Linked DNA regions of Daphnia pulex. The protein of the gene in region 1 purifies or fractionates together with the protein of each later gene. This does not show direct contact. Links are inferred from orthologs where the notes say so. Each region holds a gene or a part of one and is shown on either strand. Other genes may lie near its edges. The genes, in order: ribosome biogenesis protein WDR12 homolog and ribosome biogenesis protein BOP1 homolog.

Region 1 (4,270 bases):
TCCCTATACTTGGATACTTGTCAGCTTGAACACCATGTTCCCGCTTTTAAGCTCCTGTTGAACTCATCGATAAAATACTTGGTTAGCTGATACCTTTTGCTGGAAATCTCGAACATACGACTCATGACTCTGAGAATACGAATTCTGCTGGTAAAACTAATACCTAAAACTATGACTACACAATTCTCCAGACCGCGTTGTTAAGCTTGCCCCCTTGCAGCTAGTAGATTGCGTCGTTGAAACTTGGAAGTGCACACCTATCCAGCTGAAGCAGAATGTATCAAGCGCTGTGACTGGTTAATATGCAATCCAATTAATTTTGTATCACTTAAAAAAATGGGTAGGAAAAAATGTATAGGATTAAAACTAGACTTAGTCCATTCGAAAAATACAGAAGAAAAAAATATTACTCGAGGCTATATTATAGCTAGTACGACGTTGCCTTGTCGGCGGTACGCGTCACTGGACTACTGACTACTCTATACACCATGTCTATACTTCGTTTTAAAGTTAACTAACGGCCAAAATAGACTAATTCATTCCAGTTTCCAAAAATTTGTTTATCTCAACTTGGTGGCAATTTTAATTTATACTTCAGATTTAAAGATCTTTAACGTATTATCCGTTGCACCACTTATTATTATCGAAGGATTTGACCAGTCAGCGCACAGGATCTTGCCTTCATGTCCCGTCATGTCGTATAACGGAGCCTTGGGACTGAAAAGAAAAATTATTTCTCATTGAATTAACACGCAATTAATTATCAAATACTTGCCTCCTACTATCCCACAACTTTAAAATGTTATCATGGCCACCGGATACGAATAATCTTTCATGTGTCGTAGACCAACAAACCGTTGATACCCATCCAACGTGTGAAGTGAATGTGGCTTTCACAATTGACCCCTCTGTCAAAAAAAAAAATTGGAAATCATTAATGAGCCTATTAAAATGGTATAAAGCGCAACAGATGTACCTTGAGATCGGGCATCATACAAACGTATATGACGATCAGCTGAAGCAGTGATAAGAGTTTGGTTTAATGGAGAACGAGAAATGCAGAAGAAGGATTTGTTCCCAACAATTTCGGATTTTAATCCTCCTAATTCAGCATCCCACAATTTGATGGTGTGATCCCAGGAAGAACTAAAGATTTCATTGTTTTCAGTCCAAACAACAGAAGATATAGCTTCCTTGTGGCCAGGCAAAGTCATCAATGGTGTCTGTATTAAATAATGATTGAAATTAGTCTGTTCTAGCTTGACTGAAGGTATAAAATGTTGCGACACTTCATACAAAACACTTACACGTCTGAGTGATTTTCCAGAACCAGTAGAGCATCCTTTTTCCTTTTCACCATCATCAATTTCGTTTGTTGAATTTGAATCAGATGCTTAAAAAAAGAAGAATTCATTAAATTTAAACAGACACCTGAATACATTAATTAGAATATGTTACACTTACTGGCAGACCAAATTTTAAGCATATTATCCCAACCACCAGTAGCAAGGAAGGATGAATTCTTATCAACATCTACACATTCAATGGAGCGCTCATGTCCTCTTCCAATATGCACACATTCAATTGCATAAGTTTCAAGGTTCATTTTCCACAGCATAACTGTCTGATCATGAGAAACACTAAAAAAAAAAACAATAATTTTTTTTTTTTAAAGCTGATTATCACTAATTCAAAGAAACTAAAAATACCTTGCAAAAGTAGCAGTTGAGCCAGTCACTTCAATCCATCGTACTCCTTTGATGGGGCCACAGTGCCCTGGAATAGTTGACTTATGAGTACCATCAGTCTTCCATATATGCAAGGTATTATCATAACACCCTGTCAGGATCCTGAAATAACTAGCATTGTACATACACATTTTAAGACAACTAAAGATATGAGTGTAATACCAGTCTTTAAAACAGTGGGAAGCAGATACCCAGTCATCATGATTCAAACTATCTTCAGGTTCTGGAGCAGGGAATCTTTCAAGGTATTCTACTTCAACTGTGACTTCAGTATTAATGTCTTTCAGTTTTAGATGTTCAATAAGTGGAAGCCTTACAAATTCTCCGCATACTAGAAAATCAAAATCTACCTCATCCCATCCTGATTCGTGTGTTTCTAAAAAACAAAATTATTAGTATTAATGATTTTGAAAATTTTAAATCATTTACCTCTTAGCAAATTGTTGACTAAAACACTTAGTGAGTCTGCTTTTATTCCAGAAGGGATTGAAAATGGAGCTTCTGGGAGAGCATATCTGTCATCAGAAAAAAGAATGAATATTTTGAGCAACAAATGGACTCGGTAGAAAGACTTACTTCTCCTGTTTCGTTACAAATCTCACTTGAATCTGGCCTTCGTCATTTAACAAGCTTCTTTTTAAAGCCGCCATTGCAAGAAATTTATGACGTTTACTTTTTAATAAAGGTTTGTTAACAGTTTAACACTCGATAATTGTGTGGTTTGGATGAGACCACTTTTGATGTTCGGTCCGCGACTCCACGTGTTCTTGCACTTTCAGTCGTCTGTAATCAAAGCCTGCTATATTTTTACAAAGCCGAAACGATAGGAATTTAAAAAGTGAAGCCTTTTCGCCTACCCTTCCTCCAAGTAAAGCTTTTGACTGCCATCTAGTTTTTGAATAATAAACATGCAATTGTTGCATTTATCCGACATCTGACTCAAATGACGTGTGAACTGTGAAGGGGGCTAGAAATAAAATAACTCGTATTCTATCAATATTTTAAAGCTAAATCATGCAGCGACACAAAGACACGCAAAAAATCTAAAAATTGTTCCCGTCTTAGTGAGTCTACGCGAGTCTACCAGGAGTCTACGGTCTAGGCCTCTGAAGTCTAAAGACTATAATAAGCCAGGCTCCAAAGCGTCTTTTGGTGGTTTGCGACGCAATGCCAATGAGACGTGGCACCATATCTTCAACTGACTGGCCCAATTCCAGAATTGAATTACATCGATCATTTCCTCTATCAAAATTTTTATAGAAGATTTTTTTTTTTTTTTTTTTTGTTTTTGTTTTTAATTTAAATTTTCTGTACAGAGAGAAAAAAATGTTACACTATGTGCCAAACTCATGGAACGATTTGCGCGAACTGCACTTATAGTTGGGCGGCAACCTGTTCAATACCTTCGTTCATTAACTTCCTTGTCAGTCAGCACCAAACTTAATTTTGACGCTTAGTCTAATTTCAGTAGACGAACCAGTGTAAAGTTTTACTGTTTTAGTTTAATTTCAATAGGCGTCAAGGAATTGAACACTAAAAAAATTCTCGATCAAGTAATGGCCAGTTGTTAAACGAATAAAAAAATTCCACCCATTCATTGGGTAAAGTTGAAGTTGTCTTATTATTTTAATGTATTAATCGACGGGAAGTTCCGCCATATGTCATGCAAGAGATTTAATGCCTTTTTGAAATTTTGATTATTAAATCATTTATCGCTAGGCTTTAGAGCTAACGGTTTGTAACAGGTTGTAATAATGAGAGCTGGACTCTCATCCCTCACTCGAAATCTTGATTGTCGTTTGATTCCAATAGACGCGACTAGGTAGCGCCTCTGTCGACCGCTGCCCGCAAAATTGTCGGCAACGGCGGTTTCCGTTGAAAAGCAGCGCCTCTACCGACCACTAGCGGAGGGTGACAGGTAGATACCAGATAAGTTGAAGGGGGTCGGGTGGAAAAGGTGACTATTATACATAAAATCATGCCTACTTTTGTTAGCTGTCATTGAAAAAGCGTTTCCTGTAAGCATAGTTTTCCTGAGGGGTGTAAACTAAAAGAATTACCCCCATAGCGGTATAGACCGGTAGTCAACTCCCAAATCGGAGTTGATTTAAGAGTCTCTCCCCGTCATGAAAATAAATAACGAGGGCATGCAATACTATCGTTAAACATTTCTTTATTTTTCTTGCCGATTTACATGGGCAAATTCACTTTCCACAACCCTAGACAGTTATCGTCGTTTGTATAATCAAAGCTCACTTTTTAAAATTTCAGTTTTCATTCCGTTTGCCAACTTTAAATTTCATTATTTTCGGGGGGATTTCCCATGGGCAACAAAGGCAACGCAATGCAAATAAGGTACTTTTCATAAAATTGCAAGTTACGGAAAGATTCAACGAAATATTTCAAGCATTACAAAAAATGAGCTATGATTATATGAATGATGTTAACTGTCAATTATTCCACCCACGACTGTCATACCAATAAATATCGGTATTTTTCCCCTTTTGTCCCACTCTGTCGTT
Region 2 (4,473 bases), on another chromosome or scaffold:
TCCCCATGCGCCCCCCTCCTGAATGTGTGTGTGTGTGGTTGTCTGTGTGAGAGTGTGTGTGTGTGATTAATAGAACTATTCTGACGAAAGTTACGATAGAGAAACTAATTTGCAAAAGACAAAAAAGAATAATATCTAGCACTCGGAATTAGTAAAACAATTCTTTGTAGTGCGAGCCAAATTGTTATTAGCTCCGAGCAGAAAAACAAATTGCTTTATAGCCCTTTCAAATAAAATATCACCATCATTTTGATAGATAAACAACAGATTAAAAAAAAAGTTAATAATCTCATTTTTTTTTCTCCCTCATTTTCTTATGCAGTTGTAAAAAAAATTCAATTAATAAAGAAGTTTTTCAATGTTGAAAATTTTTCTCGATTGACTAAAAAAAAGATCTTTGATATCCTCCCGATTTTTTTGCCTACCCCTCCTCACTTTTTAAAATGTACAAAAATCGTTTTCACACACACAGATAACAGAATACAAATCCCGTTTTTTTTTTCGATTCATTATTCGTCGTATCTGATTGTTTTTGGATTTCTTTATGATCCCTGGTCGACTTTTTTGTTTCGCGCACTTTTCAAATCTTCCCGCAATATTTTTGTTGGGACACGCCAAAGAGCTTCATTTTCCTTCTTTTCGTTGATGGGATTTTGTCATTCTGGGGTTTTTTCAACATGTCCTTTTATGTGTGTCGCTTGGGTTTCCCTTGACAAGAATTGTTTCGGCTTCACTGCCAAAAGATTTCATTGCCTTGTCTACGTCTTTTCAATTATTAACCCTGCCAAAAACAAAAGTTACACAACAAGTGTGATTTTCTATTATTTTGGTGGAGGAATTTGGCACCCTGAGGTAGGTCATTTATTTAAACTGAATTGATTCAAATACGGGTTATACAACACATTATTACCTACCCGATGATGAAACCCCCAAAAATAGAAATGACGTTTGATGTTGAGTTTGTTTTAGTCAGAATCCCGTAGTCAAATCGGAGAGGAGTATCGTCAACGCCAAGGGCAAAAAGGCAAATCAGCAGAAGCCACTGATGGATCAAATGGATGAAACGGGACCGGATGTCGTGGGGATGGAAAATCGTCCTAATCAAATTCTGCTTCAGTGTGAACTGTGCGATTTCCGTACCACCGATGGCAACCTAATTCATGCCCACTTGGCCGAAAACCATCACCGTTCAACAAATGGTACAATGGAAACCTGCCAAAACTGATGGACTCGCCAATACAATCTATTGGAAAGAATATATAATTTTACATCCGTTTTATTTGTAATTTTGCACAATTAACCTGAGTAGCCTTCAAGTAATCCGTTCATTTACACAGGTCGTCGTTATGGTTTAATAATGTTCCCGTTATAATTTTTATCGAATGTTTACCCCTGCCAATTTAAGTGTTGCCGATTTAAAAAAAATCACATTCGATTGTTTACATCTATGCTGCTGAAAATAAAGAGTAAAAGACATATGATATAAAGAAAAAAATATTCTTAGGTATCGATTGATTAGTTGGCATTTTTATACGCGAGAGGGATGATAAAAATAAATCTGGCAACGCTTTCTCTAGTACACACGTGCGTAAGGTGAAGATGGCGACTGCTTCGAAATCATCTAAACGTCGCCTCGAAATTGTTGAAAACAATGAAAATTCCGCTGAAGTGGTAAGTAGAAATCACCGAAATTGGATTAGGAAATGAATTACCTCTTTTTCTGTGTATTTGACATGTATTTTACATGTTTCTAGGACGACATAATTGAGGCACAAGTTTCCGACAATGCCGATGACAGCACCGACGAGGAATCTAGTGAATACTCCGGTTTAGAAGATGACGAGGAAGATGATAGTGATGACGAAGAAGATAATTCTGATTGGGAAGAAGGTAGTGATGAGGATGAAGAAGAGGGAGATGAAGTACACAATATGAGTACCAACGAGGATAGTGAGGATGACACAGCGGAGAATAAAGTGGTACCCACTGCTGTACCCATCGCACAAGATGGACCCTCTACGTCTACTGCCCAACTGCCAGCTCCTCCTGTAGAGGATGAATATGCATATGATTCTTCTGATGAGGAAGTATGTTTGTTTTAAAAATGTGCTATATTGGTTTCTGAAACAACATTTTATCTTCAGGATTTGAGAAACACTGTGGGAAACATTCCAATGAACTGGTATAATGACTATCCTCATATTGGTTATGATTTGGAAGGAAAAGCAATTCTCAAACCCAAACGAGGAGATGAAATTGACAATTTCTTGAGGAAAATGGAGAATCCAGAGTCATGGTAAACACTTTTCACAGCACTGTCCCTTTGATTGTTGACTAAATTATTTTGATATTGCAACAGGCGGACAGTTTATGATCCACAGACAGGCCAGGATGTTATCTTGAGTAATGAGGATGTGGATCTCATCAAAAATGTCATGGGTAGTAGAATACCTGATGGAAGCTATAACCCTTATGAACCATGGGTTGATTGGTTCACTAACGAAGTCATGGAAACACCTGTTACTGGTAGACCTGAACATAAAAGATCTTTTATTCCCTCAAGAGTTGAAGCTATTAAAGGTGACTGCTAGTGGATTTGTTATCAACGTGTTTCCAAGTTAGACTAATCCTTTTTTACACTTTCTAGTTGGTCGAATGGTGCACGCTATCAAGATGGGTTGGATGAAACCTCGTGTGGCTAAAGACACATCCGTTGAACGGCACAAGTATTATTTGCTTTGGAATGCCGATGACAAGTCGGAGGATGTTCGTCGTATTGAAAATCCTATCCCTGCTCCGAAACCTCGACTTCCGGGGCATGCCGAGTCCTACAATCCCCCTCCAGAGTACGCCTTTTCTGAAAGGGAAATCAATCAATGGAATCGCTTAGCCGAAACTCCGTACCAGCGCAAGTTCCCATTTATTCCCCAACGGTTTAGCTCGCTGAGAGCAGTGCCAGCTTATGACAGATTCGCTCGCGAGCGATTCGTTCGTTGCTTGGATCTTTATTTGTGCCCTCGTGCCAAGAAGATGCGTTTGACAATCCAACCGGAAGATCTTGTACCGCAATTGCCTAAGCCAAGGGATCTCCAACCGTTCCCAACGGTCTGCTCTATGATTTTCAAGGGCCACAAAGGACTTGTTCGTACTATTAGTCACGATCCTTCAGGCCAGTTCTTTATTTCTGGTTCCGATGATCAAACACTTAAGGGTAAGTTGATAAAATGATTTTTTGGTAACATTTCATCCATTTTCAATTTTTATTTCACAGTATGGGAGATTGCAACTGGCCGCTGTTTCAAGACTTTTGAAGTTAAAGGAACTGTCCGTTGCGTTTCTTGGTGCCCGAACTCGTCTATTGCTCTGGTGGCTGCTGCGGTTGATAATAACGTCTATTTAATCAACCCTGGTGTAGGAGATCGACTTGTCCAAGCCAAAACAGATGAGATTCTCAAGGAAATGCCTGCGCAAACAGATTATCTTAGTAAGCTCATTTTTATTTCTGCTCCAGTTCATTTTTAAATGTCGTACTACTTCTTTTTTCAGTTCCTCAACGAGTTCGTGCTGTTTTGACGTGGAACGAGCCTGATAAGGCTCAATGGGATAGTGGATTCCGTGTTACTCTTACTCACTTCAAGGCAGTGAAACACGTAGCCTGGCATTCAAAGGGCGACTACTTCTCGTCGGTCATGCCGGAAGGTGACAATCGATCCGTGCTGATCCATCAACTTTCTCGACGCAGATCACAGTTGCCTTTTAGCAAATCCAAGGGACTTGTGCAGTGCACTCTGTTCCATCCCCTTAGACCTTATCTATTTGTTGCGGTAATATTTTGTTTGTTAAATTTCACGTTAACTGAAGCTTAATTTGAGATTTTTTGGCAGACACAACGTCACGTTCGAGTATACAATCTTTTGAAACAAGAACTTACCAAAAAATTAATGACAGGAGCCAAATGGATTTCTTCGATTGCAGTTCATCCAGGTAAAGTTCAAACTTCCCAACAACTATTTGCAGTCTAATTTTCATCCATCTACTTGTAACAGGTGGAGACAACATCCTCGTAGGAACTCACGATCGTCGTCTTTGCTGGTTCGACTTGGATTTATCAACTAAACCTTATCAAGCTCTGCGTCATCATGGTCAAGGTATTCGTGCAGTGGCCTATCACAAACGATACCCTCTCTTCGCTTCTGGATCGGACGATTGCTCTGCCATTGTTTCACATGGAATGGTCTACAAGTAAGACATCTTGATTACTTAATTTGTTTGTTGAACTTCTCATTACTTTTATTTTTCTAAATTTATAGCGATTTGTTGAAGAACCCAACAATTGTCCCGTTGAAGAAACTGCGTGGGCATGCCAAATTTGATGATTTCGGTGTTTTCGATGTTCTCTTCCACCCTACACAACCATGGTTGTTTACCAGTGGAGCAGATGCTACGATTCGATTGTACACGTAACGCACTGAA

The links.
Region 2: the proteins of ribosome biogenesis protein WDR12 homolog (region 1) and ribosome biogenesis protein BOP1 homolog purify together in Homo sapiens (affinity purification with western blotting; 6 studies listed by BioGRID and IntAct, with this or other methods). This does not show direct contact. The link is inferred for Daphnia pulex from reciprocal best matches to the Homo sapiens genes WDR12 and BOP1.

The regions. Positions count from the first base shown.
Region 1 is NC_060024.1:1,155,402-1,159,671, forward strand, and holds ribosome biogenesis protein WDR12 homolog, read right to left. Parts: upstream 2,888-4,270; 5' UTR 2,606-2,887; intron 2,532-2,605; 5' UTR 2,399-2,531; coding exon 2,325-2,398; intron 2,264-2,324; coding exon 2,178-2,263; intron 2,125-2,177; coding exon 1,911-2,124; intron 1,851-1,910; coding exon 1,710-1,850; intron 1,641-1,709; coding exon 1,465-1,640; intron 1,394-1,464; coding exon 1,308-1,393; intron 1,224-1,307; coding exon 977-1,223; intron 909-976; coding exon 776-908; intron 718-775; coding exon 588-717; 3' UTR 540-587; downstream 1-539.
Region 2 is NC_060021.1:9,844,567-9,849,039, forward strand, and holds the start of ribosome biogenesis protein BOP1 homolog, read left to right. Parts: upstream 1-1,514; 5' UTR 1,515-1,599; coding exon 1,600-1,671; intron 1,672-1,754; coding exon 1,755-2,087; intron 2,088-2,144; coding exon 2,145-2,296; intron 2,297-2,359; coding exon 2,360-2,580; intron 2,581-2,647; coding exon 2,648-3,211; intron 3,212-3,271; coding exon 3,272-3,484; intron 3,485-3,546; coding exon 3,547-3,824; intron 3,825-3,884; coding exon 3,885-3,984; intron 3,985-4,046; coding exon 4,047-4,242; intron 4,243-4,310; coding exon 4,311-4,464; 3' UTR 4,465-4,473. Other genes in the region: protein charlatan-like, read left to right, coding at 970-1,225. UniProt on the Homo sapiens protein: Component of the PeBoW complex, which is required for maturation of 28S and 5.8S ribosomal RNAs and formation of the 60S ribosome.